Linked DNA regions of Caenorhabditis elegans. The protein of the gene in region 2 purifies or fractionates together with the protein of the main gene of each other region. This does not show direct contact. Each region holds a gene or a part of one and is shown on either strand. Other genes may lie near its edges.

Region 1 (10,482 bases), on a different chromosome or scaffold from region 2:
AAAATTATCGATTTTTTAAAGGAAATTTGATTTTACTGATTTTTTGTGCTCTTTTTTCTTATTTTTCATAATTTCTCAGGATTCTTATAATTTTTTTTCAGAATTTTTGCAAATCTACCAATTTTTCCCATCAAAATTCTCGATTCATTTACGCGTATAAATACAAAATTCAGTTTTTTCTAGAAAAAAAATTTAGAACCAAAAAAAAATTAAAATCGCTCTATTTAAACTACCAAAGACAACACAGAAATCGAAAAAACAATCGATTAAAAAAAATCTTAATTAAAAGCGACATTTTTGCTCGTTTCCGACTTGATTCCAGTTGCTCCTCGGCCAGTGTTCTTTTTGGTAAGTGGTGGTGAACGAAGTGGAAGTGATGGAGCCGGAAGTTCTCCATATTGTTCTTCGAAATATCGATTAAATGATCGATAAAATGCTTGTTGTCCACCAGCCAATTCGAATTCAGTCAATCGGCGGACTCCGAGGTCGGCGAGAGTTCTTTCGCCCGTCAAAATGTCCGATTGTACTTCCTGAAAATGCAAAATTAGAAAAAATCAATAATTTCCGTAAATTATCGATTTTTTCGCGAATTTTTTAATCAAAAATCGATAATTTTCAAAAATTATCGGTGGAAATTTTTCTATGCGATTTTTTTTCAACAATTCCGATTTTCAATTGAAAAATGCGAAAAATAGAAAAAAAAATCAATAATTTTCAGAAATCTTTGTTTCAAAAAAAATTCCGCGGAAATTTTTCAACAAAAAATCGATAAAATCACTTTTCCGACAAAAAATCGGTAATTTTTAAAAATATTAAATTTTTTTTATTTTTTTAAGATTTTATATTCGATTTTTCTTTTAAAAAAATTCCGATTTTTATCTGAAAATTACAAAAATAGCAAAAAAAATCGATAATTTTCAGAAAATTTTGAATTTTTGTCGGAAAATCGGAATTTATCGATTTTTTGAAAATCAACAAAAAATCGATAATTTCCGTAAATTATCGATTTTATTCGCTAAATTTTTTTTTCAAAAAAAAAAATCAATAAAATCCATTTTTCGACTAAAAATCGATAATTTTGAAAAAATTTTCGATTTTTTTCGAATTTTTTTGATGAAAATCGGGTTGTTTCCGCCACTTCTACAAAAAAAATTCCTCAAAATTGTGCCTACGCCTACCTGATTTAACAATTCAACGGTAGGCACAAGGCAGGCGTAGGTAGGCTTTCCGAAATTTCCAATTTTTTGACTCAAAAATCAGTTTTTTTTAAGTGTTTTTCACTTAAAAAATGGATTTTTCCGTAAAAATTGCCCGATTTTTGGCGGAAAACCGATTTTTAATTAAAAAAATCTAAAATTTGAGGCGTTTTTGCTCATTTTAAGCCCTAAAACCTACCACAAACTCCATCCATTCTCTGTTGAGTGGAACTTTACACTTGAACACTTTACCATAGAGTTCGGTGGCCATTGTGAGAGCCATGAAATATGGATCCGGCATTCCGTGACGCTTGTATCTGCAAAAATTTGAGCTTTTTCTCGGGTCCCGCCACGAAAATAATTGAAAAATTCGCGATTTTTCTCGAAATTTCACGCCTGGGTCCCGCCGCCACGAAACAATACCTCGCGGGTTACTGTACTCAAGAAATTTTTTTTTTTCAACTTTTTCGTGGCGAGACCCAAAAAAAAATGTAGTTTTCACGATTTTTACGTCTAAATTTATATTTTTTAGCCAATTTTCATAAAGTTCACGTTAAAAATCATCAATTTTCAGTGAAAATATTGATTTTTTTGATTTTTTAAGGTCTCGCCACGGAATAATATCTCGCGGGTTACTGTACTCGTGAAATTTTCGTTGCGAGACCCGATTAAAGCTACAAGCCTAGAATTTTGAGGAGAATTCGAATTTTCAAAATTTCCTGATTGATGCACAACCCATGTGCCTTTAAATTTGAAAAAAATAAAGTTTTCGTGGCGAGACCCAGTTTTCACGATTTTTAAGTCCAATTTTCATGAATTTCTCGTTAAAAATTATCAATTTTCATGATTTTTTTGCCCAAAAATTAGCAATTTTCCTTCATTTTAGGCCAATTTTCGGCGGGAAAATCGAAAAACCGGGTACCTGAATCCAAAATCAGACAAACAATGCGCTTTTTTGTACATGAAATCAATCAATTCAGACAATTGATAGCAGTGTGGTCCAACAAATTCATAAGTATGTCCTTTTGCTGTTGGATCATTTACAGCACTTTGAATTCCGGCGGCAACGTCTCCAACCTGCAAGAAAATCGGAATTTTTCGCCAATTTTCTCGAAATTTTGATCAATTTCGTTGAAAACTCGGCAAAAAATGGTAAATTTTGAGCCAAAATTTGCAAATTTCTGTGAATTTTTTTTGAAATTTTACGGATTTTCACTCCTTTTAATGAAATTTCGCGCGAAAATACCGTTTTTTAATGGAATTTAACCAAAAAATTCAATATATATACTTGCCATTTTTAGCAATGTTTCAACAATTTTTTTCAAGTGAATATGGGAAATTACCGAAAATTGGAATTGATAACATTTTTAAACGATTTTTTGTATGTTTTTCGTCAAAAATCGTCAATTTTCTTCAAAATTTTCAATTTTGGACCAAATTTCAGCCATTTTTTGTCATTTTTGGCCAATTTAAACGTTTTTAAAGCTTTTTTTTTTATTTCGCTTATTTTCGCAAATTCCACCGTTTATAGGCAGTTTTAGGCCGAATTGTATGTATTTCGAGTAATTTTTTGAATTTTCAAACAAATTGGGCCTATTTTGAACAATTTTCACTCATTTTTGGCCGATTTTTCTTTTTTAAACTAAAACTAAAAACTAAAAAAGCAACCTGCAAGAAAATCGAGATTTTTTTAGTGATTTTTCGCCGATTTTCTCGAAATTTTGATCAATTTCGTTGAAAATTCGGCAAAAAATGGTAAATTTTGAGTTATTTTTACTGAAATTGTGCGAAAAATGAATTGAATTTTGGCAAAAATTCAAGGTTTTGAGTCAAAATATCCAAAATTTGGTCATTTTTCGCAATAAAATGGTGCCTACTTATGCCTACCATCAATTTTTTTTCGGCAGAAATGGACAATTTTAAGCCAAAATTTGCAAATTTCGGTGAATTTTTCTGAAAAAATCATCATTTTTGATGGAATTTAAGCAAAAATTCGAGATTTTCAGTCAAAATTTGTCATTTTTAGCAATTTTTTGACAATTTTCTGTGTGAAAATCGAAAATTTTGTTACATTTTTGAGGAGAAAACGATTTTTGCCAAAATTCTACCAATTTTCGACTAGTTTTATCAAATTTTGGGTGAAATTCCGAAAATTTTCAGTTTTGTGCCAAATTTCAGCCATTTTCAGTCATTTTTGGACAATTTAAATGGTTTTAAAGCTTTTTTTCATAAAATTTCGCAAATTCCAGCGTTTATAGGTAACTTTAAGCCTCATTTCCTTGAATTTTGAAATTTTTTTTCTCTAATTTTTAAGCAAATTAAATAAATTCCATCAATTTTTAGCGAATTTCACATATTTTGAGCAACTTTATATGAAATTTCGAGACTTTTCATAAATATTTGGACTCATTTTAATTGTATTAAAAGCCAATTTTTATGAATTTTGACATTTTTCAGTTCATTTGGATTTATTGTAATGAATTTTGAGTCATTTTTTTCAATTTCAAGCGAATTTTCATGAAATTTCGTAGATTTAGACCGATTTTCACGGATTTTCGACTTTTTATTTTTAAAATTCAGTTATTAGGTCAAATTACACCATTTTTGGCCGAGGTTTTGAGTCAAAATATGCGAAATTTGGACATTTTTTGCATTTTTTCGCAAAAAAAAAATTGTGCCTACTTTATGCCTACCGCCGCCTACCATCAATTTTTTTTCGGCAAAAATGGACAATTTTAAGCCAAAATTTGCAAATTTCGGTGAATTTTTCTGGAATTTTACCGATTTTTACATTTTGATGAAATTTAAGCAAAAATTCAAGTTTTTCAGTCAAAATTTGTCATTTTTAGCAATTTTTTGACAATTTTCTGTGTGAAAATACGATTTTTGCCGAAATTCTACCAATTTTCGACTAGTTTTATCAAATTTTATGAAATTTTGGGTGAAATTCCGAAAATTTTCAATTTTGTGCCAAATTTCAGCCATTTTCAGTCATTTTTGGCCAATTTAAATGGTTTTAAGGCTTTTTTTTCATAAAATTTCGCAAATTACAGCGTTTCTCGAATTTTGAGTAATTTTTCCGATTTTCAAACAAAAATTGGTCATATTTTGAACAATTTTCAGTAATTTTTGGCCGATTTGTTGGAATTTTTGACTTTTTAAATTTAAAATTCAATTTTTAGACGGACTTATGCCAATTTCCTTGAATTTTGAAATTTTTTTCTAATTTTTAAGCAAATTAAATAAATTCCAGCAATTTTTAGCGAATTTCACGTATTTTGAGCAACTTTATATGAAATTTCGAGACTTTTCATAAATATTTGGACTCATTTTATTTGTATTAGGCCAATTTTTATGAATTTTGACATTTTTCAGTTCATTTGGATTTATTGTAATGAATTTTGAGTCATTTTTCTCAATTTCAAGCGAATTTTCATGAAATTTCGTAGATTTAGACCGATTTTCACGGATTTTCGACTTTTTATTTTTAAAATTCAGTTATTAGGTCAAATTACACCATTTTTCTCGATTTTCATGAAATTTTCTACTTTAAAAAAAAATTTTTTTTCGTCATTTTTGGCCGATTTTCACGTATTTTAGGTCATTTTTCATGAATTTTCGCCCAATTTTCAATATTCAAACAATTTTCAGCCATTTTTGAATTTTTATTGACTAAAATTCAGTTTTTTGGTCAAATTACTTCAATTTTTTTGAATTTTAAGTAATTGTTCAGCATTTTTGGCGAATTTCACGTATTTTGAGCTTTTTTTAAAATGTATTTTATGAAATTTTGATTAATTTCGTTCAAAATTCGGTTGAAAATGGATTTTTCTATAATTTTAATCAATATTAACGGAAAATAAAATTTTTTTGACAATTTTTAATGTGAAAATCGTAAATTTTCAAAAAATCTCGGTTTTTGTGAGTTTTTCGTTAAAATATTTAATTTTGTGCCAAATTTCAGCCATTTTCAGTCATTTTCGGCCAATTTTCACGTATTTTAGGTCATTTTTCATGAATTATCGGCCAATTCCGTACCCAAATCGGCATTTTATACGTTTCTTCTCCCTTCTTGTACAAATACACATAATCCAATGGAGTTTTTCGCCATCTTGACACATAATATTGAATAAATCCATCCAATTCACCGTAGATCACAGATGGGCGAATAATTGTTGCTTCTGGGAATTCTTCACGTACAGCAACTTCTCCGAGTCCTTTTGAATGAAGAAATTGCGATTTTGCGACAAAATGTCCCTTTTGTGGTTGTGTAGTTGCTCCGAGAGCCGACAAATGCACAAATTTCTCCACACCCATTTCTTTGCAAATTCGAGCCAAACGGCGGGCTCCCGTGTCGTTGACGTCATAGTAATTGTACTTTCTGCAAGGAAAAATGGCTTAAAATTGGGATTTTTAGAAGGAAAAAGTGGGGAAATTTGAATTTTTCAATAGAAAATGGCAGTTTTCTCGAAAATTTTGGAGAAAAATTGAGCAATTTAGTTTTTTTTGAATTTTTTAAAAATATTTTTTGAATTTTCAGTGAAAAAAACGGCGCGAAACTCAAAATTTTGAAGATTTTTCGGACATTTTTCAAATTTTTAGCCAAAAAGTGGAGCCAAATTCAAAATTTAAGGGGATTTTTCAATTTTTAATTGATTTTCAGTTGGAAAAAGTGAGGAATTTTGAGTTTTTCAATGAAAAAACTGGAAAAAAAGAGCTTTTTTTTTGAATTTTGAATGATAATTTGGTGTAAAAAAATTTATTTTTTGAATTTTCAGTAGGAAAAAAGGGTTAAATTCCACATTTTGAAGGTTTTTCAGGCATTTTTTCGAATTTTCAGCGAAAAAGAGTGATTTATTTGGTCAAAAACGGCGCGAAATTTGAATTTTTTGAATTTCCGGCATATTTTGTGAATTTTTCCGCTCAAAAATCTGCAATTTCCTCACCCAGTCGGCACACGAGTTCCGATCAAGTTGATGACGACGTTCGAGTACTTTACAGCCTGAAAAATTGATTTTTTCTGGATTTTCTAGAGAAAAATCCAATTTTTCTCGATTTTCACCTAGAAAACTCTTTTTTTTTCGGAATTTTCTAGAGAAAAAACCTAATTTTTCTCGATTTTCACTGAGAAAACTCTATTTTTTCTGAATTTTCTAAAGAAAAACCCATTTTTTCTCGATTTTCACTGAGAAAACTCTATTTTTTCTGGATTTTCTAGAGAAAAATCCAATTTTTCTCGATTTTCACCTAGAAAACTCGATTTTTCTCTCAATTTCCACGAATTTTAATACCTTTCGAATGCTCTCCTCATCCATCAGCTCAAATGGAAAATAGAGGACTTGTCCGAGCTCGCCGAGCACTTTGTGCTCTCTCATGTAATACGGATCCTGGCGATACGGAATAATGATTTGTGAGCCATTTTTCGCGAATTTATTGACAACTGGAAGTCCCAAGAAGCCTGACGCACCGAATACGGTCACCACATTGCCGGAGAAGGAGGCTCTGCAAAAATTTGGAATTTTTAACGATTTTTTTTGGGAAAAAATTGATTTTTTTTCAATGTTTTTTCAATTTTTCCTAGATTTTTTCCACATTTTCCAGTTTCAAATCATTCTTAGGCTTTTCCTGTACCTTCCACCGGCTCCCTTTCTGAATTGAGCACTCTGAGAGCTGACACGTGGCTCCGGATGAGCATTTTCGGCGGAGGTGACCGCGCTGCTGAAATTCTGACTTCCAACGACCGAAACCGCCTGCCGGGCGCCCAAGCCGGATCTACCCAACACTGATAGCATGGCTGAAATTAGGAAAATCGAGATTTGCAATTGTTTAAAGATTTTTAAAGATTTTTAAAGACTTTTTAAGAATTAAATGGGTTTTCTGCGTTTTTTCGGGATTTTTTCCAGCTAAAAATAGCTTTTCCGGTCGAAAAAATCGATTTTTTATCAAAAAAGCACCGAAAATAGCGAAAAAATCTGGAAAAACCGCTAAAAATGGCTGAAAATGAAGTACGCGGTGCCGAAATAAATAATTTGGCCTGTACGCAATATGGCGTCGGGTTTGACGTTTGCGGACTCGAATGCGCACTTGGAAGGGCGGGGATTGATGACCGTACTCCAAGGAGGAATGAGAAGCTTTGAAATTAGCAAAAATTGGTGAGAAAGGCGGTTTTAAAGAGAGTTTTCAATCTAAATTGTTGAAAAATTAATGAAATATTACTTTTCTTGTTTTACATTCAAGAAAAATTATTAAAATCTTTGAATTAAATAGAAATGCGAAGTTTTCAAGGGATTTCTTCAAAATGTGCGAAATTACAGAAGAATACTGGTAGATTAAACTGAAAATGACATCAAAATTCTCAATTATTAATATTATACGCTATCGAGATAATAAGCATTTATGGCTACAATGTATACGCCTCTCAAAATTACGTTCACATTGCTTTGTGGCTTTGCTGGTAACTCTTTTGCCTTTCACGCAACACACCGGGGTTCGACTCCGCACTGTGGTTCTTTTCTTTTTTTTTCTCGATTTAACCAATTTTAGTCAATTAAAATTCAAATTTAACGATTAAAACCAATTTATTTATCACGTGGAACCCAGAAAAGGAGAAAATTTCGGCCTAAAAAAGTTGAGACACTTGTTAAACGCCGGATTCCTGAAGCAATTCGAGCTGCACTCGGCGGCTAGATTCGGCTGGTCGACTGAAAACATTTCATGGCAAAGTAGGCATATTCTCGTGAGCACTTCGTTTAGAGCCGGTCGTCGGTAAGCCTGGAAATCAAAAAATATTCCGAATTCTTGAAAAAATGCGGAAAAAATCGGCGAAAAACTAGGGTTTTGAATGATTTTTCTCAAATTTTTCAATTTTTTTCAGCGAAATATCGAATAAAAATCGATATATCTCCAGAAACCCCCGAGATTTCCACCATTTAAGCAAAATTCTCAATGGAGCGCGTTTGCAGCTTCGTTGTTCGCTAGAGCGCACTTACTTTGCAGTTCCTCGAATGGTGGTCGGGGCGGGAAAATGAAAATCCGGCAAACGTGACGATAAGTAAGAAGAATACTGGAAAAATCAATGGAATTGTTTAGGCCACAGTGGTTTTTTGGCAGATATTTAGAGTTTTAAAAAATAATTTTCACAGAAACGTTGGCCGAAAGTTAATTTCCAGCGGCGAAATCGCGGAAAAATGGAGCTTTTCGAAGAAAAATTTCGTGGCCTATTTTTTCAGCTGGTTTTTCTTGGCCACGTCTTAAAATTTGAAAAAATTTGATTAAAAAGCAAATTAAGCACGTTTTTCAAAATTAAAAGTGAAGACATAACGCGTTTCTCGAAAAATTTGCAATTTTCTAGAAAAATGCTGCGTGGCCTAACTTTTCCGGTTATTTTTCTAGGCCACGTCTGAAAATTAGTTTTTTATTGAAAAGCAACGAAATTTTTCAAATTTTTCATACTAAAACTGAAAAAAATAGATTCTTCACGGAAAAATTTCACTTTTTGTGAAAAATTTCCCATGGCCTAACTTTTCCGGTTTTTTTTCTCAGCCATGTCTGAAAAATTAAGAAAAATTTGGGGAATCCATGAAATTATGCATGTTTTCTACGAAACATAATTGAAAAAAAAAACGGTTTTCTGCTAAAAACCATGCGTGGCCTAACTTTTCTGGATTTTCTAGGCCACTGAGCCCGAATATGGGGTTTCTAGGCCACGTGGGTCCTGAATCCAACAATAACTTACATAAGTGGTTTAATCCGTTCATTTTAGATGAAAAATAGTAGAAAATTTCGGAAAAATCTTTTGGAAAAAAAATTTCCGAAACAAAAATTTTTTTGTTTAGAAAATTTTTTTTTCCAACAAATTTCCAAATTTAGCAAATAGGTCTTATTCCATTTAAAGGTCCCCTATATATATCGTGTTGCGCGGGAGAGGTGTCATTCGATACAATACGACGTAATTTCCTCTTCCAAAGAGGCGAATTTGTGTCCTCTTCCGCCCAGTTTTCTGAGATTTTGCACGATTTTGGGCGGTTTTTTTTGGGATTTTTGCATTTTTCAGCCGGAAGCTTGCGCTAGACGCGATTTTTGATTACTCACGGGATGGTTTTAGGGGTATATTGTAGTTTTTAGCAGGGGTAGGCATGGGCCCCTTTCACTGGGGATTGGTGACGTCATAGGGGCTTGAAGGCGTGAAGGAGCGAAAAAATTGATTAAGAGGGTATTTTTGAAAAGAGTAATTGGAAATAGTGGAAATTTGAAAAAATTTCACGGTATAAGTTATCTAAAAAAAATTTTTTTGGACATTTTTAAAAATTTTTTCCAAACTTTTTTATACTTTTTTCTCACAGAAAAATCAGTTAATACATCCTTTCCTGTTACAATAAAATTCTAATTTCCTAAAACAAAACTCAAAAATCTCAAAATTCAGACTTCGAACCTAGTTATCTCCCGATACATGCGTTTTAAGTTAGCGGTGACGAGAGAGTGTGGGGAGGGGAGACGCAGGCGGCGCGCGCGCTCTCGTCGTCTGCGTCTCTCCCCCTTCTCTTTCTCTCTCTCTTCGCCAAGTTCAAACGCCCGTATCTCATTAACGGTTGGAGATATCAAAAAACTTTAAATTGTAAAAAAGTTGAGCATGGAATTTTACATTTGATAATTAACACAATTATGGATTTTTGCGATTTTTTACAATAATATTTGATCGAACAAAGTTTCAATATAAAGCCCATTCGAATAGTTTTTGGAATCCCAGCAAATAGTGAAGAAAATTGAGTTCACATCTTCATACTTGAAATCCAGGCAGTCAGATGTGTCGGTGGAGCACGAGTTTTGTAGGGCAGCGTCTAGGAGGACGGCTCTCTGGAATAAGCATAACTCCGCGGAAAATCTTGATTTTCAAAAATGTTCAACTAACAATTTGTAGTGCTTAAAATTTTACACATTTTTATATTTGACAACTTTTTGATAGCTATTATTTCCGCGGAGTTATGCGCCTTTAATGATAAGAATTTGAGCTACTCCTTCTGAGCGCGTCTAGTTTAAAAGCGCATAACTCCTTGGAAAAAATAGCTATTAAAAAGTTTTCAATTAACAAAATGTAGAAAATTTTAAGGGCTATATTTCTTTAGTTTACAAATTTCTGATATCTCTCCTCACAAAAAAGTTATCAGCTATTTTCTTACCGAGGTCCCATCAAACTGCACCACGAAAACATTCAAACTCGGGCTCAACTTCAAGAAATCCTCTATTTGAGTTGAATACTGCTCTCTGGTTATATACGTAATTGCCTTAA
Region 2 (5,645 bases):
TTGTCGACCTTCTCGCTTCGAAATGCTCTAGCCACCCAGCTATTCCGGCTTATCGTTCGACTATGCCGTAATATCACACTTCGAAGCATTTAGTGCTGTAGAAAAAATCACTATAGTCTAAACTAAACTGGATTCTATTGATATAAGGAACGTTTAACCTTTTTTTAATATCGAGAATCGGAGATCAGACATTATATTTCAGATAAATGGGGATGAAAAACACGTAAAGTGGTGTAAAAATTTGAGAAACAATGAAATAAATAAGAAAAAGTGGCATTTTTACAGTGAATTTTTAACAAAAAAAGGATATTTATGAAGCTTGACTCGACTCGTCCGACTCGTTGTGTGCTGTTGCAGATGGTCTTGGAACGTCTGGAATATAGTTGCTTCCCATATTTTCCTCTTGACCTGACAATTCCATTTCGTCCGTGGCGGCTTGCATACCAGAATTCCGACCGAGGAAGTTCATTGCTGAAATCAACATTTTTAATGTTTTCCAGAAGATTTTGAAATGAGGACGCACAAAAATGCTTATTTTTGAAAAAAAAATCGTTCCACGACCAATTGAATCGGCTAAATCGTAAATTTAGAATTTTCCTTCAGGTATTTTTTGTCTTTTTTTTTTGTGCTTTTTAATTAAATTTTAATAGTTGATAAAAAATGTTAAACCTCGTATCTGATGTCAAAACTTCTGAAAAATCCGCTTTCAAAAAATTTCCCCAAGAAGGTGAATTTTTCTGCGTCTTCATAATAATTCAGAATTTCCAAATCTACCTCTTGGCGGAACACGTCGTCTTCTCGATCCAGCTGGAGAATCAGCAGCATGAATTTTTCTCCGTGGTCCACTCATATCGTTCTCCAAATCTTCATCATCAAAATAATCGTCATCCTGGAACAAACATTCCTAAAGGATTTAGAAATATTCTAAATGCATTAACTTACATCTGCCTGCTGCGGACGACCGAGATGTTGTGATTTGAATCGAACCGGATGAGCCCAACGGCTTGTCGATTTTCCATGGAATCCATCGTCGGCGAGAAGATCGGCTCTTTGAGCTGACAACTTGTTCCACACATTTTGCATATTTCCGAGAAGAGTTGTCAATCTTGGCATCAGAGAGAATACGGTCATTGTTTTCTCTTCCTTTTCGAAACTATCAGTGAACTCAGCAGCATATCGATCAATGGTTTTGAGCTTTTGAGCAAGCAAGTTAGCTTCCTTCAAAATTTCAAAATTCGGTTGAAGTGTTCCGTCTTGCACTTTTTCGAGATAGGCAACGATTAGCTGAAAATTATTTTTTTGTAAAAAAAATTAAAGGCGGAGTAGTCGAAATTGTTTTATTGCTTTATTAGACTCAAAATTGTCTGAAAACACCGAATTTCATAATGAAACTTCTTGAAAATTTCTCAATAAAAAGTTATGACGGCTCAAAAAATGGCCTAAAATTAGTTAAAATTTGAAATTTGACCGTCTTGCAATGTTGCAGCGGCTGGAAACAATTTTTTTTTTTGAAAGCACCGTCAAATTTTGAGCATACAATGTCATTATCTTGCGTTTTTAACTCGATTTGGGTACTTTAAAGTCGATGGACGGCGAGATTTCGTAAAAAAAAAATTAAAAATATCGCCGTCCATCGGCTTTAAAATACATAAATGAAGTTGAAAACGCAAGATATTTAAATTTTATACTCAAAATTAGATGGAGATTTCAAAAAATTAGTTTCCAGCCGCTTGACAAGTCGGTCAAATTTCAAATTTTAACTACATTTAGGCTATTTTTTGAGCCGTCATAACTTTTTTTTGAGACGTTTTCAAGAAGTTTCATTATGAAATTCGGTGTTTTCAGTCAATTGTGAGTCTAATAAAGCAGTAAAACTATTTCGACTATTCCACTTTAGTTTGCTGCTGTATTGATTTTCATAACGAGATTTCTCAAAATAATATTAATAAACTTTTTAAGTATGTCAAAATTTCAAAAAAAAATAAGAGCCAAAACTGTCTAAATTCTGAAATTTCGCAAACTTTTCATGTCGCAGCAGCTGTTGTTACATATTTTAGTCGTTTAGCTCGCAATTACTAGTAAATGGAGGTACTTTTTTCAAACATTTTTTCCAAAATTAGGTGTCAATCGACTGAAAATGTGTCTTAAATCAACGAATTAATGCGAGATAAGATCGAAATATGCATTTTAGCGAATTTTAGGTATTATTTTAAAATTTTTGAACCGCTAAACAGCATTTTCAGAAGTCTCATTATGAAATTTTGTCTTTTTCTGGCCTCCAATTTCTCGAACGCACATCAACCCGATTCTGAAGCATGCTCATTGCTGCATCTTGAGCCTCCGCGTGTTTCTTTCCAACTGATTTCCCGTCTTTTCCATGTTTCGTTGATAACTTAGCGATATGATTAACACCGACACGTTCACTTTCTTCCGACACTAAAATCCATTCAATTGGCTTATGCTTCTCCTGATCAGTCACGTCTGCTTCAAACGCGAAAAGTGGAAGTTTACGAGTGGTTCCAGCAGTGATAGAGTTGAGTTTAAGGAAAAGTGTCGCGTCGATTTGTCCGGCTTTCTCTGAATTGCGAACCGCATTGGTGAGTTTTGAGAGAAGAGGTTTCTCTTCGGGAGTCAGATTATCATCCTCCCCAGCACAATAAAGACCGATAACTTGGAGCTCGGGAAACACTTCCAGATCTGAAATTTGGGGAAAAAAAACTAAAATGAGCAAGAACAGAGTAAAACTGACATTGATCTGCTCTTTGAAGGAGATGCTCCGTGCTAAAAGTAACCGGCTCAGCCATTTCTTCTGTCTCCATTTTCAGAACAAATGAATTGATCGCCTCGACTTGTCGTCCATTCTGCCGTCCGAGAATTGCTCCGAACACTTTTTTCACAGTAGGACCCTGTTGGACCTTTGTTCTGGAGTAGTGTTCGGACATTTGCATAATAACCAAAGGATGCAAAAGCACCTTCGAGCTACAGCTCCCGCTTGGTGCGTTCAATGCCATTTCTGAAAATTATTTCGAAATTTGGTTTCGAAATCGGTTTTTTTGTTTCAAGCCAGATAATGATTTGGAAATTTTGAAAATATTCCTGGATTCACTGGTGGAAAAACAAGCTAAACGGGAATTTTATTGATTCACATTGACATAAGTTTTACAGAACATAAAACTTCCTACAAAAAAGAGATAATGCAATCGAGTGGAAATTATTTAGGATCCTGGAGCCTTGACGTGGCTAAGTGGTGGAAGTGGAGTTCCGTTGACCAACGAGATGAGGTTGTAGATGGCGATGACAAAGCAGATGTAGGAAAGGACCTTGGCGATCTTGCTGACAGCGACATCGAATGGTCCAGCCTCTTCGGACTTCTTTCCTTCGAGAAGAGCATTGGCGTAGGTATCAACTCTTTTCTTGAGGATTGGATCGTAGAGTCCGTACTTTCCCATGACAAGGTTTCCGCATTTGGTTCCCTCTGGCAGACGTGGAAGGATCTTTCCTCCGGCTCCGAGTTGCCACTCTCCTGGGTTCAGTGGATCGAATTGTTCGAGGGTTGGTGGGGTCTTTCCGGCGTTGGTTGGAACAGCCTGGAAGCTGGCGGTTCTCATGGAAAAGCGAGCGACGCCCAAAGTCTTTCTCAAAGCCAACGACATGATTTTCCTGAAAAATGTGTTTTAAAATGTGGAGAAAGAAATAAAGAATAAAAAAATGAAATTAAGATAAGAAAAGTGAAACGAACACTTTTTATGAACATAACAAATATAATTTGTTAAAAAGAATGAAAAGCTTTATTTATAAACAAGTATTTACAGTGGCCATGGGCACCACTAATAAAATGGAAGAGGACTGGCGTGATAAGCTCGTTTTCCACATTCCAGAACTGCATCAAACAAACGGAAAAGTCCAGTATCTCTTGGTCGCTCTAAACCTCTACGCATTCTTCTCCTCATCACAGCAACCATTTCTTCATGTGATAATTTTCCATCCAAATTGTCATCGAACAAAGTAATCACCACATCCACAACGTGATCCGATAGAGGTATTCCAGTCACTTTGACCGCAACTCGTTGAAGTAGCTTCGCATCTATCGACATTCCAGCCATTTTATGAAAGTGTAGAGCAATATCTACATCGTCAATGTGATACAAAAACTCGAAAAATGCTTTCGTCTCTCCAAAACTGATTCCTTTCAAATTTTCTCCTTTAAATCTTCGTTTAACCCGCTTCAACATATGCTTCTGTTTCTTCTCATTAATTTGAGCATGAAGAAGGAGAAGTTGAGCAAAACTATCTTCGTTGATAAGTCCATCCGGGTTATCCAGTGCATCTCTCCGTTCAAATTCCATCTTTAAAATGTCGTGTTGTAGACGCTCTTGAAACTCGATAAATTTTTCAGACGACAAGCTCCCCTTTCCGTCTTTTCCAAAGAAATATGTTTCGAGAGCGGAGTTTGTCTCGACACGGAACGACTGGTTTGGCGTTATATGATCTCGATGACGCTGTCCTACAGTTGTTTGGGACATAATAAGCTGTTGAACTTTTGTGAATTCTTCTTTATCCAGCGCACCGTTCCCATCTACATCGAAGATTTTGAATGCGAGAGCGAAATCCGCGTGAGAGGCTGGAAAAGTCAATGATATTTTGAAAGAAAAACGAGTATTAAAACTCACTTGAGAGCAGAGTCATGAGAAACAGATAATCACTGAAGTTTATGAGACCGTTCTCGCCGAGCTTGTAAAAAATACTGTCAGGGTCGGAGAACTTGTGACGTTTATGCTTCTCAGGATTATAGTTTTTAAAACTATCAAGCCCCCAACGTCTCGGCTGCATCACACCCGGAGTGAAAGAACGGAGAAAATCCTCAGGAGTCATGAAAACTTCAAAGCGTCCACTGTCTTCGTTAGGATCGATGATCTGAAAAATACAACTAATAAATAGATTTTTGTCAAAGTGACTCACTTTCAGGGTCGCAAAGTATCTGAAAATCTTATCCGGAGTGGAATAAAGCCTCAATCTGTCTTCATATTCTATGATTCTTCGCTCTCTGAATCCCAGTTTCTTCTTCTTTGGCTTTTCTTTGACTTCCTCTACTTCACCATTGCTTTCAGTGACTTCCTGAAGACCGCAAATTAGAAAAATTGCAGGAGTGATAGAAAAATAAACACGTGAGAGGTTGTAAACCTAAGAAGCTTGTGAGAAAAATTAACAGAATAACTGAAACTGACTATTTTTATCTTGAAATCACAACACACAAGCTGGTATTAGGTGAACTAGCAGGAGCAGCTCACTTCTTTTTGTGATGCTTCTGGACGGAACGGCAACGATGCGCTCTTGATCTGATCCTTGAGCCTGAAAAAGCGGTGAAATACGAAAAACAAATCGACGCAGGAGAGCACGAACCATTCGAAATCACTCATCAGGATAACCATTCCAGCGATCACCAAGGCATAATTCCAATGGTACAGCTTTCTGAGCGGTGGCCAAATATACGGGCGGTGCTGATAAACTGAACTGGAGTAATGGGAATATCCAACGCCGCTTGCTCTGAAAAATACATTTTATTGAGTAAACCGGGAGAATATTGACTATATTACCTGTCTGTGTAGTGAAAAACATCCTTTTTCTGCCGAATATTTCCGAGAGCC
Region 3 (7,373 bases), on a different chromosome or scaffold from region 2:
CTGATACATTTTAAAGAAGCCGTGGTGACTCCTCTCTGTAAAACCTTCAGTTTTTGGTGAAATTTCATAATTTTACACATTTTCAATTCGGATGGTGCTTCTCAACAATAATATCAATTAAAAAATTAAAAATAATTTCCATAGAAGCCAAAAATAGCCAAAAACTGCTGGAACGAATTCCCCGCGAATTCCGGAGATCGTGAGGTGCCGCGCGAGCGCGCTCTAATAATTATGAACACTCCAGAAGGCCGCGGTGGTACGCAATAAATATTCAAAAATATCGATTTTTAGTGCAAAAAAAAATCCAATTTTCTTACAGATCTCCTCCACTGGAAATGCTTCGACGAGTGGGCGGCAAATTTCCCGGCCACGACCGCCCCGGCCGGCTATCGATGCCCGTGCTGCAGTCAGGAAGTCTTCCCACCGATCAATGAAGTCTCTCCACTCATCGAGAAGCTCCGCGAGCAACTGAAACAGTCCAACTGGGCAAGAGCAGCGCTCGGGCTCCCGACTCTTCCGGAACTCAATCGGCCAGTGCCTTCTCCGGCGCCGCCACAGCTGAAAAATGCTCCAGTTATGCATAAAGAGGTCCCGGTGCACAATAATAGGTGAATATTAGCTAAAATGAACGAATTTTGCGAAAAAACGGTTCAAAAGACCTTTTTTCGAATTTTTAACTAAAAAATTGCGAAAAATTTCGAAAAAATGAGCCTTTTTTCGATTTTTTAACCTAAAATTCGAAGTTTTTCTTCGTTTTTCCGTAGTATTATTGTTTAAACTACATTTTAAAAAAAATGCATTTTAGGCCAATTTTCGACGTTTTCGAGCAAATTTTGAGTTTTTTTGAGCGAATTTTGAGCGGCTTTCGAGTCCTTTTAAGCAAATGCTCAGTTTTTCGAATAATTTTTGAGTTTTTGAGCCAATTTTTAGCTTTTTAATCAAGTTTTTAGCATTTTTGAGCAAATTTTGAGTTTGTTAGTGCATGTTTAGAGCATTTTAGAGGAAGTTTCGAGTTTTTTGAGCAAATTTCGAGCTTTTTAGAGCAAATCTTAAACATTTTTGAGCAAATTTCGAGCATTTTCGAACTAATTTCGAAAAATTTGAAGCAAATTTTGAGCAGTTATGCACAAAGAGGCGCCAGTTCACAATAATAGGTGAATATGACCGAATTTCGCGAAAAAACCGCTCAAAAATTCGAAAAAATGGGTCTTTTTTCGAAATTTTAACTTAAAAATCGATTTTCTCACGTTTTTTCTCATTTTTTATCGTTTAAACTACATAAAAATGCATTTTAGGCCAATTTACGACGTAAAAAGCCGTTTTCTATGTGAAAAAGTGTTAGAAAATCCAATTTTAAAGTTAAAATTTGAAAAAAAAACGAAAAAAAGAAACCTAAGTCTGAAGAAAGGCCCATTTTTTTTTGCAATTTCCCAAAATTTCTAATTTTTTTCCAGATCCTCCACCCCCGCAACCCATCTGGAAATGGAAGACACCGCTTCCTACTCGGTCTCCAACAATGACGTCACTTTTGCGCGAAAAAAGAACTACGGAGCCGAATCTTCAAGCGATACTCGTCCACTTTTACAGCTCCGTGACGCCGATAACGAGGAGAATAAATATAAACGGCGCCCGACGATGGATTGGATGCGCGGGCTCTGGAGAGCAAAACATGGCGGCTCCGGGGTCCCACAGGAACGGGCTTCCGCGAAAAAAATCGCGCTTTTCGTGATTTTCCTGGCCGTTTTGGCTTTGATTACGGTTGGATTTTAAAAAGCGACTTTTATAGACTCAAAAACGCCAAAAAAATATTTTTTCCCTGAAAAAATGGCCTAATTTTAGCTAAAATACATCAATTTCGCCGACTTTTCCGTGTTGCATCTGTCGGAAATTCGCTTTTATTTGATTTTATCACAGTTTATTTTCAATTTTTATCGTTTTTCTCACGTTTTTTTCGTTATTTAGTGTACATTTGAAGCATATAAACCGAAAACGACGTGAGGGCGGAGCCTAAACCGCAATCCTGCGGCGCGATGTTTCGCAACTCCACCGCGCGACTATTTTTTACAAGTTTTTAAGTTTTTTTTCGCATTTTTCGAATAAAATTTCCAGTATATCGTGATTTTTTCGAGATATTTCGATAAAATCTCATGAAAAAAAAATTTCGACTGACAAAAAAACAGCGCGGCGGAGTTGCGAAATCGCGCGCCGCAGAATTGCGGTCCAGACCCCGCCCACAATTTTTTGCGCTCAACGTCTGCCGTGTGGCTTAAAATGTACATTAAATAGCGAAAAAATGTGTAATAAACAATAAAAATATAAAATAAACGATGAAATTTCATGAAAATAAAATATAAGTCAATTTCCGACCGCTGCGACACGGAAAAGTCGGCGAAATTGGTGTATTTTAGCTAAAATTGAGCGATTTTGAGTATTTTTAAGCGAATTTTGAGCTTTTTGAGCAAATTTTGAGTGTTTTTAATCAAATTTCGCAAATTTTGAGTCATTTTGATCAAATTTTAAGGCTTTTTGAGCAAATTTATTGTCTTTTTGAGCAATTTTTTGAGTATTTTAGAGCAATTTTTGAGTATTTTTGAAGGAAATGTTAAGGCTTTTTGATCAAAGTTTGACTTTTTTTGAGTGAATTTTGAGTATTTTTGAGCGAATTTTATGGCTTTTTAAGCAAATTTTGAGTGTTTATGAGTCTTATCAAGCAAATTTAGATTCTAACTTCATTTAATTCCAAATAAATTGTATTTTTCCAGATTATAATGGTGATGAAGCGTGCCGGATACAGCGGCGAGCACTCATCGGACCCCCTTTTCGATCCAATGGCCAATCCGAATATTCGCGTCGCCGTCGAAGATTCTCGTCTTCCACACGTCTAAAAAATTTTTTTTTTTGAAAAAAATGTGCATATCCTTCCCTTTCTGTGTAATATTCAATGTCTACTCATTCCCCAACGAAAAAAAAAGTTTTTCGAAAAATTTTTTATTTTTACTTTCGCCTGCTAATGATGCTAACAAACGGGATTTTTTCTGATTTTTTTCGATTTTTTTCGCTAAAAACTAGCTAAAACTAGCTAAAACTTGGTTGTAATTAATTATTAATTATTTATTCTTTTTTTTTGCCCTATTTCTTGTATATTCGGTGGTTTAAATGGTATTTATTGATTTTTTTTCCTCTAAAAATTGAAATTCGGTTAATTTTCTACCGAGATTTATATTTATTTTCTCTCAATTTTTCGGAAAAAATTTCAGGAAGTAATTGCAATTTCAGAGCACCATGCATCGCGTCGGTGGACAAATTGTCCGCGGAGTGTCGAAGGCTCAACAGAAGAGATCGCTTTCGGTGGCGGCTCCGGCTCCACCGAAAAAGGTGAAAAAACTGGAATTTTCGGCGGAAAAATTGAAGAAAAATGGATTTGGCAAAAAAATAACGAATTAACTAGCGAGAAATTCAAAAAAAAAGCTTAATTTCATCTACAATCTCCAATTTTCCATCATTTTCCATTTAAAATTAGTGCCAGAATATAGAAAATCGCTCGATTTATCGGAAAATCACTTTGATTTTAGCTGAAATGTTGGAGAAAGCGCTCAAAAAGACAGTTTTGAGCTTTTTCTCAACTGTTTCATCCGAAATTAATGTGATTTTCTCGATGAATCGAGTGATTTTCTATATTTTGGCACTAATTATTAATTGAAAATTTTACAAAATACATGGTGCAATGATGTTTTACTAAAATCAAAAATGTTTTCGTTTTTCAATTAAAAAAATCGAAAAATTCCGTTTTTCGGTTCGAAAAATCAAAAATTTTTAGATTTTTCCTTTAAAAAACGGAAAATTTAGTTTTTTTAATTTCCGAAAAAAGAACAAATCGAAAAAGTACGTTATTTAATTTAAACAAAAATCTAAATTTCTTCGTTTTTCAATTGAAAAAAAAATCGTTATTTCCTGTAAAAAAATCAAAAATTTAGTTTTTCGGTTCAAAAATCGGAATTTTTTCGATTTTTCCTGTAAACATCGAATTTTTTTTTAAATGCTCGATTTTCTCTGACAATTTTTTTTACAAAAAAATAAAAATTATTCGATTTTTCCTGTAAAAAATCTAATTTTTTTTTTCAATTAAAATGATCGAAACATTTCGTTTTTAAATTTATCAACAAAAAAAACATAAAATGAAAAAAGCACGTTTTTCAATTAAAAAAAAATCGAAAAATTACGTTTTTCAATTTTAAAAAATCTAATTTTCCTGTAAAAAATCTAAAAATTTAGCTTTCAGTTCAAAAAATCAGAATTTTTTCGATGATTTTTCCTGTAAAAAATCGAAAATTCGTTTTTTTTTCAATTTTTAAAAATATATCGTAAATATATATTTTTCGATTTTCCGGAACCTAAAAACCCAACATTTTTTTCAATTAAAAAAAAAAAAAAACGAAACAAATTTCTTCCATTTTCCGAAAACAAAAAACTTAAAAAAAAAATTTTTTTTCGATTTTCAAATAAAAAAAATCGAAATTTTTCGATTTTCCCTGTAAAAATCAACAAAAAAACCACTAAAAATCACCTCATTTTCTTCCAGGTCGAAGTCTTCATCGACGACAAAAAAGTGCTCGTCGACCCGGGAATGACGATTCTCCAAGCGTGCGCGCTCGTCGGCGTCGACATCCCACGCTTCTGCTATCACGACCGTCTCTCAATTGCCGGAAACTGCCGAATGTGTCTGGTAGAGGTGGAGAAGTCGGTGAAGCCTGTCGCATCATGTGCGATGCCTGTCATGAACGGAATGAAAGTCAAAACCAACTCGGATTTCGTGAAAAAAGCTCGCGAAGGGGTGATGGAGTTCATGCTCAACAACCATCCACTCGACTGCCCGATTTGTGATCAAGGTGGCGAATGTGATCTACAGGATCAGGCGATGAATTTCGGATCCGATCGTGGGCGGCTTCAGTCGAGATTCGATGGAAAACGGGCTCTCGAGGATAAGAATATCGGGCCGTTGGTGAAAACTGTGATGACTCGATGTATTCAGTGTACTCGATGTGTCCGATTCGCTAATGAAGTGGCCGCTTTTCCGGATTTCGGCACCACCGGACGAGGACAAGATCTTCAAATTGGCACCTACGTCGAGAAATTTTTTGCTTCAGAGCTCTCTGGGAATATTATCGATATTTGTCCGGTCGGAGCTCTTACCAGCAAGCAGTACGCGTTTACGGCCCGGCCCTGGGAGACTAGAAAGACTGAAAGTGTTGATGTGATGGATGCGACCGGATCGAATATTGTGCTTTCGCATCGGACTGGCGAGCTTCTGCGGGTTATTCCGAAAATCAACGATGTACGGAGTTTTGAAACGAATTTTTTGGAAGACATAGCTTTGAAAATTTTGAAGAAGAATCGATATTTTTCGAATGTCGAAAAAAAAATTGTATTTTTGGCCATTTTTCACTTTTTTTGGAGAAAAAATCGATATTTTTCAATTTTCTCTGAAAAAAATCGAAAATTTACAGATTTTTTGAATTTTGATAATTAAAAAGTTGAAAATTGTGTAGTCTAGTTTGGAACAGGGGTGTGCGGCAAATGGAAAAAATTGCCGAGCTCGGCAAATCGGCAATTGCTGGTTTTTCAAAATTTGCCGAGCTCGGCAAATTCGGCAAATCTCTTTTTTCAATATTTGCCGAGCACGGCAAATTCGGCAAATTTGCAGAGCTCGGCAAATTCGGCAAATTCGGCAAATTTGCCGTGCTTAACAAACTCGGAAAAATTTGATATTTTTTATGTTTTGTGGAGCACCAAAACTACTGAATTCTTAACACACATCTGGTTTCTGAATAAGTTCCGCGTAGTATGTCTGTTTAAGCATCAAAATAGCTCAATTTTGTGTCATTTTACTAAATTTTTGGCTAAAAAATCAATAGTTTTATTCAAAATTGTACTGTCAAATTTTTCACGTGTGCGGCAAATTTCGAAATTTGCCGAGCTCGGCAAATTCGGAAAATCTACTTTTTTGAAAATTGCCGAGCTCGGCAAATCGGCAATTGCTGGTTTTTTTAAATTTGCCGAATTCGGCAAGTCGGCAATTTTCGGCAAATCGGCAAATTTGCCGCACACCCCTGGTTTGGAATAAAAAATTGTTCGGCAACATTTTACTTTTTATGAATTTTTAATGCTTTTTGAGCTGTTATCGGTAAAAATCGATTTTTTTTTCAGAGAAAATCAAAAAAAAAATCTAATTTTCTGAAAATAACTTAAAAAGCTTATTTTCGATAAATAAATTCATTTAAAGTAGATATTTGCCGGAAAATTTTTTTCCGAACTATTATACAACTTTCAATTTTTTTTTCCGATTTTTTTCCAGAGAAAATCGAAAAATATCGAATTTCAAAAGAAAAAACATAATTTTCTTCAAAAAAGTGGAAAATTACCAAATTTTCCCAATGCGAAACAGAGCTCAGAAAATTTTCAAACGACTAGACTTTAAAAATGAGCAAAAAACTGATTTTTTATCGATTTTTTCAGAGAAAAAATGTTACTTTTTGTATTTCCGGGGAAAAAAACTATTTTTTTTCAAATTTTCAAATTTAGGTATATAACAATTCGAAAACTAAGAATTTTCGATATTAAAATAAAAAACTTACAATATTCTTCGAAAAAAAGATGAAAAATGGCCACATTTTCAGCTATTTTACGAAAATTAAATTTTTTCCTTGAAATACAGAAAATTTTTTGATTTTTACGAATCCCTGTTTTTTAAGGTGTTGTTTCAAAATTTACCGGAAAATTTCGATTCCGTAGTGCTCCGACAAAAAAAACGAAAAAAAACCGAAAAAATGTCAGAAAAATTCGAAAATGCGAATTTTTTTTTCCGTTTTTTTGCAAAAACAAAAATTGAATCTGGAAAATCGGAAAATTTCACTTTTTCGAGTTGCTACAAATCGAAAAAAAATTTCTTAAAATAAATGCGATTTTTCCGTTAAAAAAAACCAAGAAGCATATAATTTTGGCCCCATTTTTCCTATAATTTTTTGAAGAAAATTATATGTTTTTGCTCATTTTCATAATTTTCGCGAGCTCGATAATTTTCGGATTACCAAAAAATTTTTGATTGCGTAATGATTTCTACTAAAAAAAAAAAACGAAAAATAAATCCGAAAAAACCAAATTTTGCGCCGCAATTTTCGGCCTTTTTTCGACCCCAATTCCCCAATTTTTTCCAGGACATTAACGAAGAATGGATCGGAGATCAGTCGCGTTTCGCAGTGGACGGCCTAAAAGTCCAACGCCTTCTCACACCAATGATCCGCGGTGCCGACGGTCAACTCAAGCCAGCCACCTGGGAAGAGGCTCTTTTCACCGTTGCCGCCAAGCTCCGCGAGACG
Region 4 (6,365 bases), on a different chromosome or scaffold from region 2:
GTTTTCGCAAGCCGCCGCACGTTTTTTCCTCATTTTCAACAGAAATTTTCAACGAAATTCAATGAAAATCGGATTTTTCATTCGGAAAATCAATAAAAGGAGGAAAAACCGTGCCGCGGGGTTGCAAAAATAAGCCCCGCCCCTTTTTCTGTGCGGCGCAGGTTTTCGCAAGCCTCCGCGCGTTATTTCCTCGTTTTAACAGAAAATTTTGACGAAATTCAGAATTTTTCATTGAAAAAAATCAATAAAAAGGAGGAAAAACCGTGCCGCAGGATTGCAAAAATAAGCCCCGCCTCTTTTTCTGTGCGGCGCAGGTTTTCGCAAGCCTCCGCGCGTTATTTCCTCGTTTTAACAGAAAATTTTGACGAAATTCAGAATTTTCCATTGAAAAAAATCAATAAAAAGGAGGAAAAACCGGTGCGACACGGTTGCAAAAATAAGCTCCGCCTCTTTTTCTGTGCGGCGCAGGTTTTCGCAAGCCTCCGCACGCTATTTCTTCGTTTTAACAGAAAATTTTGACGAAATTCAGAATTTCTCATTGAAAAAAATCAATAAAAAGGAGGAAAAACCGGTGCGACACGGTTGCAAAAATAAGCTCCGCCTATTTTTCTGTGCGGCGCAGGTTTTCGCAAGCCTCCGCACGCTATTTCTTCGTTTTAACAGAAAATTTTGACGAAATTCAGAATTTCTCATTGAAAAAAATCAATAAAAAGGAGGAAAAACCGTGCCGCAGGATTGCAAAAATAAGCCCCGCCTCTTTTTCTGTGCGGCGCTGCTTTTCACGGATTTATCGATCATCAAAATCTAATTTCCAGCAATCGCTGACTACGAAAAAGCCGAAGAATGGGATTCATCAAACGACGCCGTCCGAACTGGAAAAGATCAAGCAAAGCGTGCAAAGGAACTCGTCGGAAAACGAGATTACTACAAAATTCTCGGAGTCCGCCGGAACGCCAATAAACGAGAAATCACAAAAGCCTATCGAAAAATGGCTCAAAAATGGCATCCGGACAACTTTCAGGATGAGAAGGAGAAGAAGAAAGCTGAGAAGAAGTTTATCGATATTGCCGCGGCGAAGGAAGTTTTGAGCAATGAGGAGAAGCGGCGAGCTTTCGATAATGGACAAGATCCACTGGATTCGGAAGCAGGGAGGGGTGGAGGTGGAGGTGGAGGATCACACGGATTTCATAATTTCCACGGATTTAATCCATTCGGCGGTGGTGGTGGTGGCGGCCGTGGTGGCGGCGACTTTTTCTTCCATTTTTAATTTCATATTTCATTATAGATATAGATATTATTGTGTCATTGGATGTGTTACCCGGACTATTATTGATCTCTTAACTTGCTTCTTTTTTTTTTTATTATAAATCTTTTTATGTACTTAGAAAAGATTAAAAAGAAAAAAGAAATGAAAACTACAAAAAATAAGGCGATTTCTCTCGAAACTAAAGGCACTTCAAGTATCTAGTTGATACGATTCCACTGGAAGTGATCAGTCTTGAATTGTCCCGGTTCTGGATGATTGTCGACGTATGGCTTCGCGATTTTTCCGTCGAGGAACAGCTTGCAGCGTTGTTCACGGATGGCGTCAGCTCTCTGGAAAATTGTTTTTCGATTATTTTGGAATTTCATGTGATGTTTTTTAAAGGCGCACGGGTTTATTCAGATGGGTCTCGATGCGCAGAAAAAAGATTATGGTAGTTTTTTCTCTTTCAGGGCAAAAAAACTGGAGAACACACATTTAAATTTTTAGGAAAATCGAAAACCAAAAATATTCGATTTTATCAACAAAAAAAATCCAAAAGTTAAAAAACCAAATTTTTCAGAGTTTTCGATTTTTCTTTTCTTTAGAAATAGGAGAAAAATCGGAAAAATTGCATGAAAGAAGACGAGAAAATAAACTCAAAAATCAGAAAAATGAAGGAACATTTTTTTAAATTAGAATTTTAGAAATTTCCGGAAAATGAACGAATTTCGTAATGAAACTGCTCAAAAATTTTTAAAAAATTTTTATGGCGGTTCAAAATTTTGAAAAATAACACTGATTTTAGCTAAAATCACGAATTTTTCCCATTTTTCCGTGTCACATCTGTCCGTAGTTGGCTTTTTTGGAATTATCGTCCTTTATTACATATATTGGTAGTTTATCTCATTTAATTTCGTCGATTAAAGTACATTTAAAGCCGATAGGTAACCAAAAATCATCGAAATTGGTTACCTATCGGCTTTAAATGTTATTTGATCCACGAAATTAAATGAGATTAATTACCAATATATGTAATAAAGGACGATAATTCCAAAAAAAGCCAACTTCGAACAGATGTGACACGGAAAAATGGGCAAAATTCGAGATTTTAGCCAAAATCAGTGTAATTTTTTCAAAAGTTTGAACCGCCATAAAAAATTTTTGGAAATTTTTTGAAAAGTTTCATTACGAAATTCGTTCATTTGAGAACATTTTGGGTCTATACGTTCAAAATCGTCCGAACCGTTAGTCCTCCGTTAAAAGAATAAATTCAAGGGATCAAATTTATTTGGTTTTCACTAATTTTTTGTTTTTTAGTCCAATTTTTTTTCGCGACAGTTCTGTTCCGGATATCGAACCTTCTTCTGTTTATCCCCAGTGACACACTCCTGGAAGTCACGATGCTCGAGATCACAATACTTGCGTCCCATCTTTGCTCCGTAAGCCTCCATACAACGGTAGAATTGAGATTCAAAGAATCCGCAGATACGTCCCTGTTGGGAGAGTGGAACCGAAAGAGTATCGGTTATTGGAGCCTTTACGATTGGTGACAATGATGTGAAGTTCTCCGGATTACGGTTACCAGTTGCCATTGCGGATGTTCTGGAATTTTGGAATTTTATTATGAGTTGAGAAGCAAAATATCGATTTTTCGGTTTTTTTTTCAGAGATAATCAGAAAATGTTTTAGAAAAAAAAACTAAAATTTTAAAATCTGTGTTAATTTTTTTATGTCGATGAGGAAATGCATAAATAGGAAAAAAAACATTTTTCTCAAAAAAAAAGAAGAAAAATAGCTAAAATTTATAGACATGTTTCGAAAAAAAAAAATAATTTGTCTAAGTATCGGAAAATCGAAAAAAGAAACACACTAATATTACGGAAACGCAAAATTCTGAGTGACCCGCAAAATATCTCGTAGCGAAAACTACAGTAATTCTTTAAATGAATACGGTAGCGTCGATTTACGGGATATCGATTTTTTTTAAAGAAAATTAATTTTAATATTCAATCGTTAAATTAATTAATTTCAAAAATCGAGATCCCGTAAATCGACACAACCGCTACAGTAGTTATTTAAAGAATTACTGTAGTTTTCGCTACGAGATATTTTGCGCGTCAAATGTGTTGTGCAATACGCATTTTTAGAATTGTGTTCCCGTAATAATTTCAGAATTACCCAAAAAATCCTAAAATTAAATACTGTTTGGATAAAAAGGCACGCTACAAGATCAAAAAAGCCATGAAATGTAATTTTTGTTGAATAAATTTCGAAAAAATGCCTCGAGAGAAGAAAAATCATGAATAATCTCAAACTATCACGCAAAAAAAAGGAAAAATGGTGAAAAATCCCAGATTTTGGAAAAATTTCAAAAAAAAATTCCCAAAAAACTAGATAAAACCAATAAAATATTCTTCTAGAAAATTGCTTTTTTTTCAAAAATTCAACAAAAATTTTTTTTTTGCAAAACCTATTCGCAATTTAAGCTATTTTTCCTATTTTCGGTGGATCCCAGCAAAATTTCAGCAAAATTCCATCCATCTACTAATTTTTCCGCAAAAAATCGCCAAATTTTCCAAATCTTTGTATTCAAAAATTGTTGAAAGTGGATTCCAAGTTCAAAAAAATTTCGTCAATTTATTTTTTTTATTCATACTAACTTTTCTTCAGGAAAATCGGCTAATTTTCCGAATCTTTGCTACTAAAAAATTGTTGAAAATCCACAAAAGTCTTTTCCTCTTTCTCCCAGTTTATTCATTTTATTATCCGAGCTTCTCCCCCCCCCCCCTCTCTCGTCTTTTTCACATCTTTTTCGTAACGGAGGTCTCCTTTTCCGTTTTCTTCAACGCTTTTCGCAGCACACAAAAATCGATATCAAGCGCAGTAGTGTGTGCTCTTTCTCTCTCGGAGCAAGAAGGCAACTTGGGGCTCTGTCAAACATGGACGCCGTCTATAATCTCGTTGAATGTGAGTTAAATATATTAAATTAATTTCAACCGATTTTCATGAATTTTCAGCTGTTCACGTTTTTATTCCTGTCGTCGCGCTTCTCGTCTTTCTCACAGTTATTTATATTAATTCGAAAACTCCTGATGAGCCGGGTGAGTCAGCTTTTTGAATTTTGTGAGAAAAATATCGATTGACCCAGGCGTGTGCGGAAATTGCCGGAATTTTTCATTTTCGGCAAATTGCCTATTTGCCGGATATCGATATGACGGAAATTTGTAGAGCGATTTTTTTAAAACGGAAACACTCCAAATTGTGCCTTTTTAAAATTTTTTCCCATTTTTCGTTAGATATTTTCATAGAATTTTTAATTTTTTAAAATAGATGTAAGAACATTCATTGGATGCCTTTTTTAAAAATTTCTTTGCCTATTTAAATTGAAATTCTTCAAAAGTTCCAAAAAAATGTGCAAGGCCACAATTTGCCGGAAATTGTCGATTCCGGCAATTTGCCGATTTGCCGGAAAAATAATTTTTGGCCATCTTTTGCCAATTCCTTCTGTATTTAACATTAAAAATACTCGATATATATCTTTTTTTTTTAGATTTTCAGGTAAAAATCGATGATGTTTTTTTTTCTATGAGAATTTTTAGTTAGTTAAAAAATTTTCGATTTCCGGAAATTGATTTTTCGAGAAATATGTCAAAGTTTTGGTCATTTTTTTTTAAAATAAAATTATGTTAGATTTTTCTCATGAATATAAACAACATAATTTTCCAATTATTTTCGGGAAAATATAAAAACTAATTTTTTTTTCGATATTTCCAAAAAAACAAATCTATTTTTCGAGAAATCTCTCAAAATGTTGGTAATTTTTCGTTTTTTTTTGTTTTTTGAAAAAAATTGCAGGGTTTCCTATGCTTTTTCTCATCAATATTAGCTTTGCTCCGAGAAAATCCGAAATTTTATTTTTTATTTTTGAAAAAAAATTCGTTTTTTTTTCGAGGCATTTTCAAAATTTCGATAATTTTTTGCCTTTTTTAATGAAAAAATTTTTTTTTTCCTCAAAAAACAATTTTTTTTTTCGATCATCTCTGAAAAAAAACCGAGTTTCTCAACGAAACCCTTAGTTATAATAAAAAATAAAAGAAAAATGCAAATTCGGGAGCTTCAACCGACTATAAAAACCAACGAAAAAAAACTTAAAAATTCAAAAATCAAATCAAAATACTTTAATCTTAATCAGAAGCGGGACAGAAATGTGGAGGGAAAAATGGGGAAAAATCTACAAAGTAAATGAAAAATAGTCTAAACTAAAGAAAAAAAAGAGGAATACTTTCAGATACGGCGCTGAAGAAAGCGACTCAAAAAATGACACCGAAGGAGCCGAATGCAAAGAAATCGGATTGATCTCTCGAGATGGCAATTGAGAAATTGAAGAAATGCTCAAAAAACTGTGGAAAATAGAAAAAAAATCAAATATATCTTAAAATTTTGGCCATTTTTCTTTTTGTTTCTCATCAACATACACAAAATTTAATTTACAAAATTAAATTTTATGATCAATTTTTCGATTTTCCTTTTAAAAAATCGGCTATGTTTTTCGCCAAATCTGCCTAAAAATCACTTTTTTTAACAAATTTTTGGGCATTTTTCAATTTTTCCAACTCTAAAATAGTAGCTATTTTCTGATATAAGAATTATTTTTCTAAATATTTTCCATCACAAAATATCAATAAAAATATTGGCTCATTTCGTAGAATCACCCCCTGGAGCTGGAGCATCCTAGACAGTGAGAGACAAAGAGACATCGAAATATACAAAAATCCAAAATTAATTATGGATTCAACTTTGGTAGATTAATCGTTCCCTTCACAAAAACCGCGAATTCTCCCTGATCATCGTGATCTGCATATTGTGTGAAGAAGACGTCTGCGGTGAGAGATTTTAGGGTTGCTCGTTCACTTGGAAGTTTTCGAAGGCATTTCGACACAAATCCAATCACTTCGTCACTGGAAATTGAAAATTTTAAAAAAGTTAATAGATCATAATTATGTTCCTGATACCGAATATCAATTTGGAAAAATTCAAAAAAAATTTCCCTGATTTTATATTAATTTTTTAAATTCCGAAAATCCTCGGTTTAAATTCAAACGACAAAATTTGCATGATA

The links.
Region 1: the proteins of kdp-1 (region 2) and nduf-9 fractionate together in Caenorhabditis elegans (co-fractionation; one large-scale study listed by BioGRID). This does not show direct contact.
Region 3: the proteins of kdp-1 (region 2) and nuo-5 fractionate together in Caenorhabditis elegans (co-fractionation; one large-scale study listed by BioGRID). This does not show direct contact.
Region 4: the proteins of kdp-1 (region 2) and nduf-5 fractionate together in Caenorhabditis elegans (co-fractionation; one large-scale study listed by BioGRID). This does not show direct contact.

Annotation. Positions count from the first base shown.
Region 1 is NC_003281.10:3,241,586-3,252,067, forward strand, and holds nduf-9 (NADH dehydrogenase [ubiquinone] 1 alpha subcomplex subunit 9, mitochondrial), read right to left. Parts: upstream 6,991-10,482; 5' UTR 6,989-6,990; coding exon 6,828-6,988; intron 6,699-6,827; coding exon 6,488-6,698; intron 6,199-6,487; coding exon 6,143-6,198; intron 5,578-6,142; coding exon 5,235-5,577; intron 2,274-5,234; coding exon 2,119-2,273; intron 1,514-2,118; coding exon 1,396-1,513; intron 531-1,395; coding exon 279-530; 3' UTR 132-278; downstream 1-131. Other genes in the region: Y53G8AL.4 (Apple domain-containing protein), read right to left, coding at 7,782-7,967, 8,186-8,259, 8,932-8,953; Y53G8AL.3 (CUB domain-containing protein), read right to left, coding at 9,876-10,049, 10,373-10,482.
Region 2 is NC_003282.8:13,298,196-13,303,840, reverse strand, and holds kdp-1 (KASH (Klarsicht/ANC-1/Syne Homology) Domain Protein), read right to left. Parts: upstream 3,654-5,645; coding exon 3,216-3,653; downstream 1-3,215. Other genes in the region: Y67H2A.7 (Peptidase M3A/M3B catalytic domain-containing protein), read right to left, coding at 1-89; csn-6 (COP9 signalosome complex subunit 6), read right to left, coding at 311-471, 775-904, 943-1,284, 2,297-2,697, 2,750-3,011; micu-1 (Calcium uptake protein 1 homolog, mitochondrial), read right to left, coding at 3,828-4,621, 4,671-4,914, 4,960-5,115, 5,289-5,349, 5,401-5,544, 5,595-5,645.
Region 3 is NC_003283.11:2,695,696-2,703,068, forward strand, and holds the start of nuo-5 (NADH-ubiquinone oxidoreductase 75 kDa subunit, mitochondrial), read left to right. Parts: upstream 1-3,276; 5' UTR 3,277-3,282; coding exon 3,283-3,375; intron 3,376-4,579; coding exon 4,580-5,332; intron 5,333-7,211; coding exon 7,212-7,373. Other genes in the region: Y45G12B.2 (Zinc finger protein-like 1 homolog), read left to right, coding at 320-608, 1,455-1,758, 2,763-2,885.
Region 4 is NC_003279.8:3,000,000-3,006,364, forward strand, and holds nduf-5 (NADH dehydrogenase [ubiquinone] iron-sulfur protein 5), read right to left. Parts: upstream 2,849-6,365; 5' UTR 2,839-2,848; coding exon 2,605-2,838; intron 1,597-2,604; coding exon 1,465-1,596; 3' UTR 1,361-1,464; downstream 1-1,360. Other genes in the region: dnj-28 (J domain-containing protein), read left to right, coding at 816-1,267; Y54E10BL.3 (CcoQ/FixQ family Cbb3-type cytochrome c oxidase assembly chaperone), read left to right, coding at 4,186-4,213, 4,264-4,347, 5,535-5,602; Dual specificity mitogen-activated protein kinase kinase mek-2, read right to left, coding at 6,030-6,204.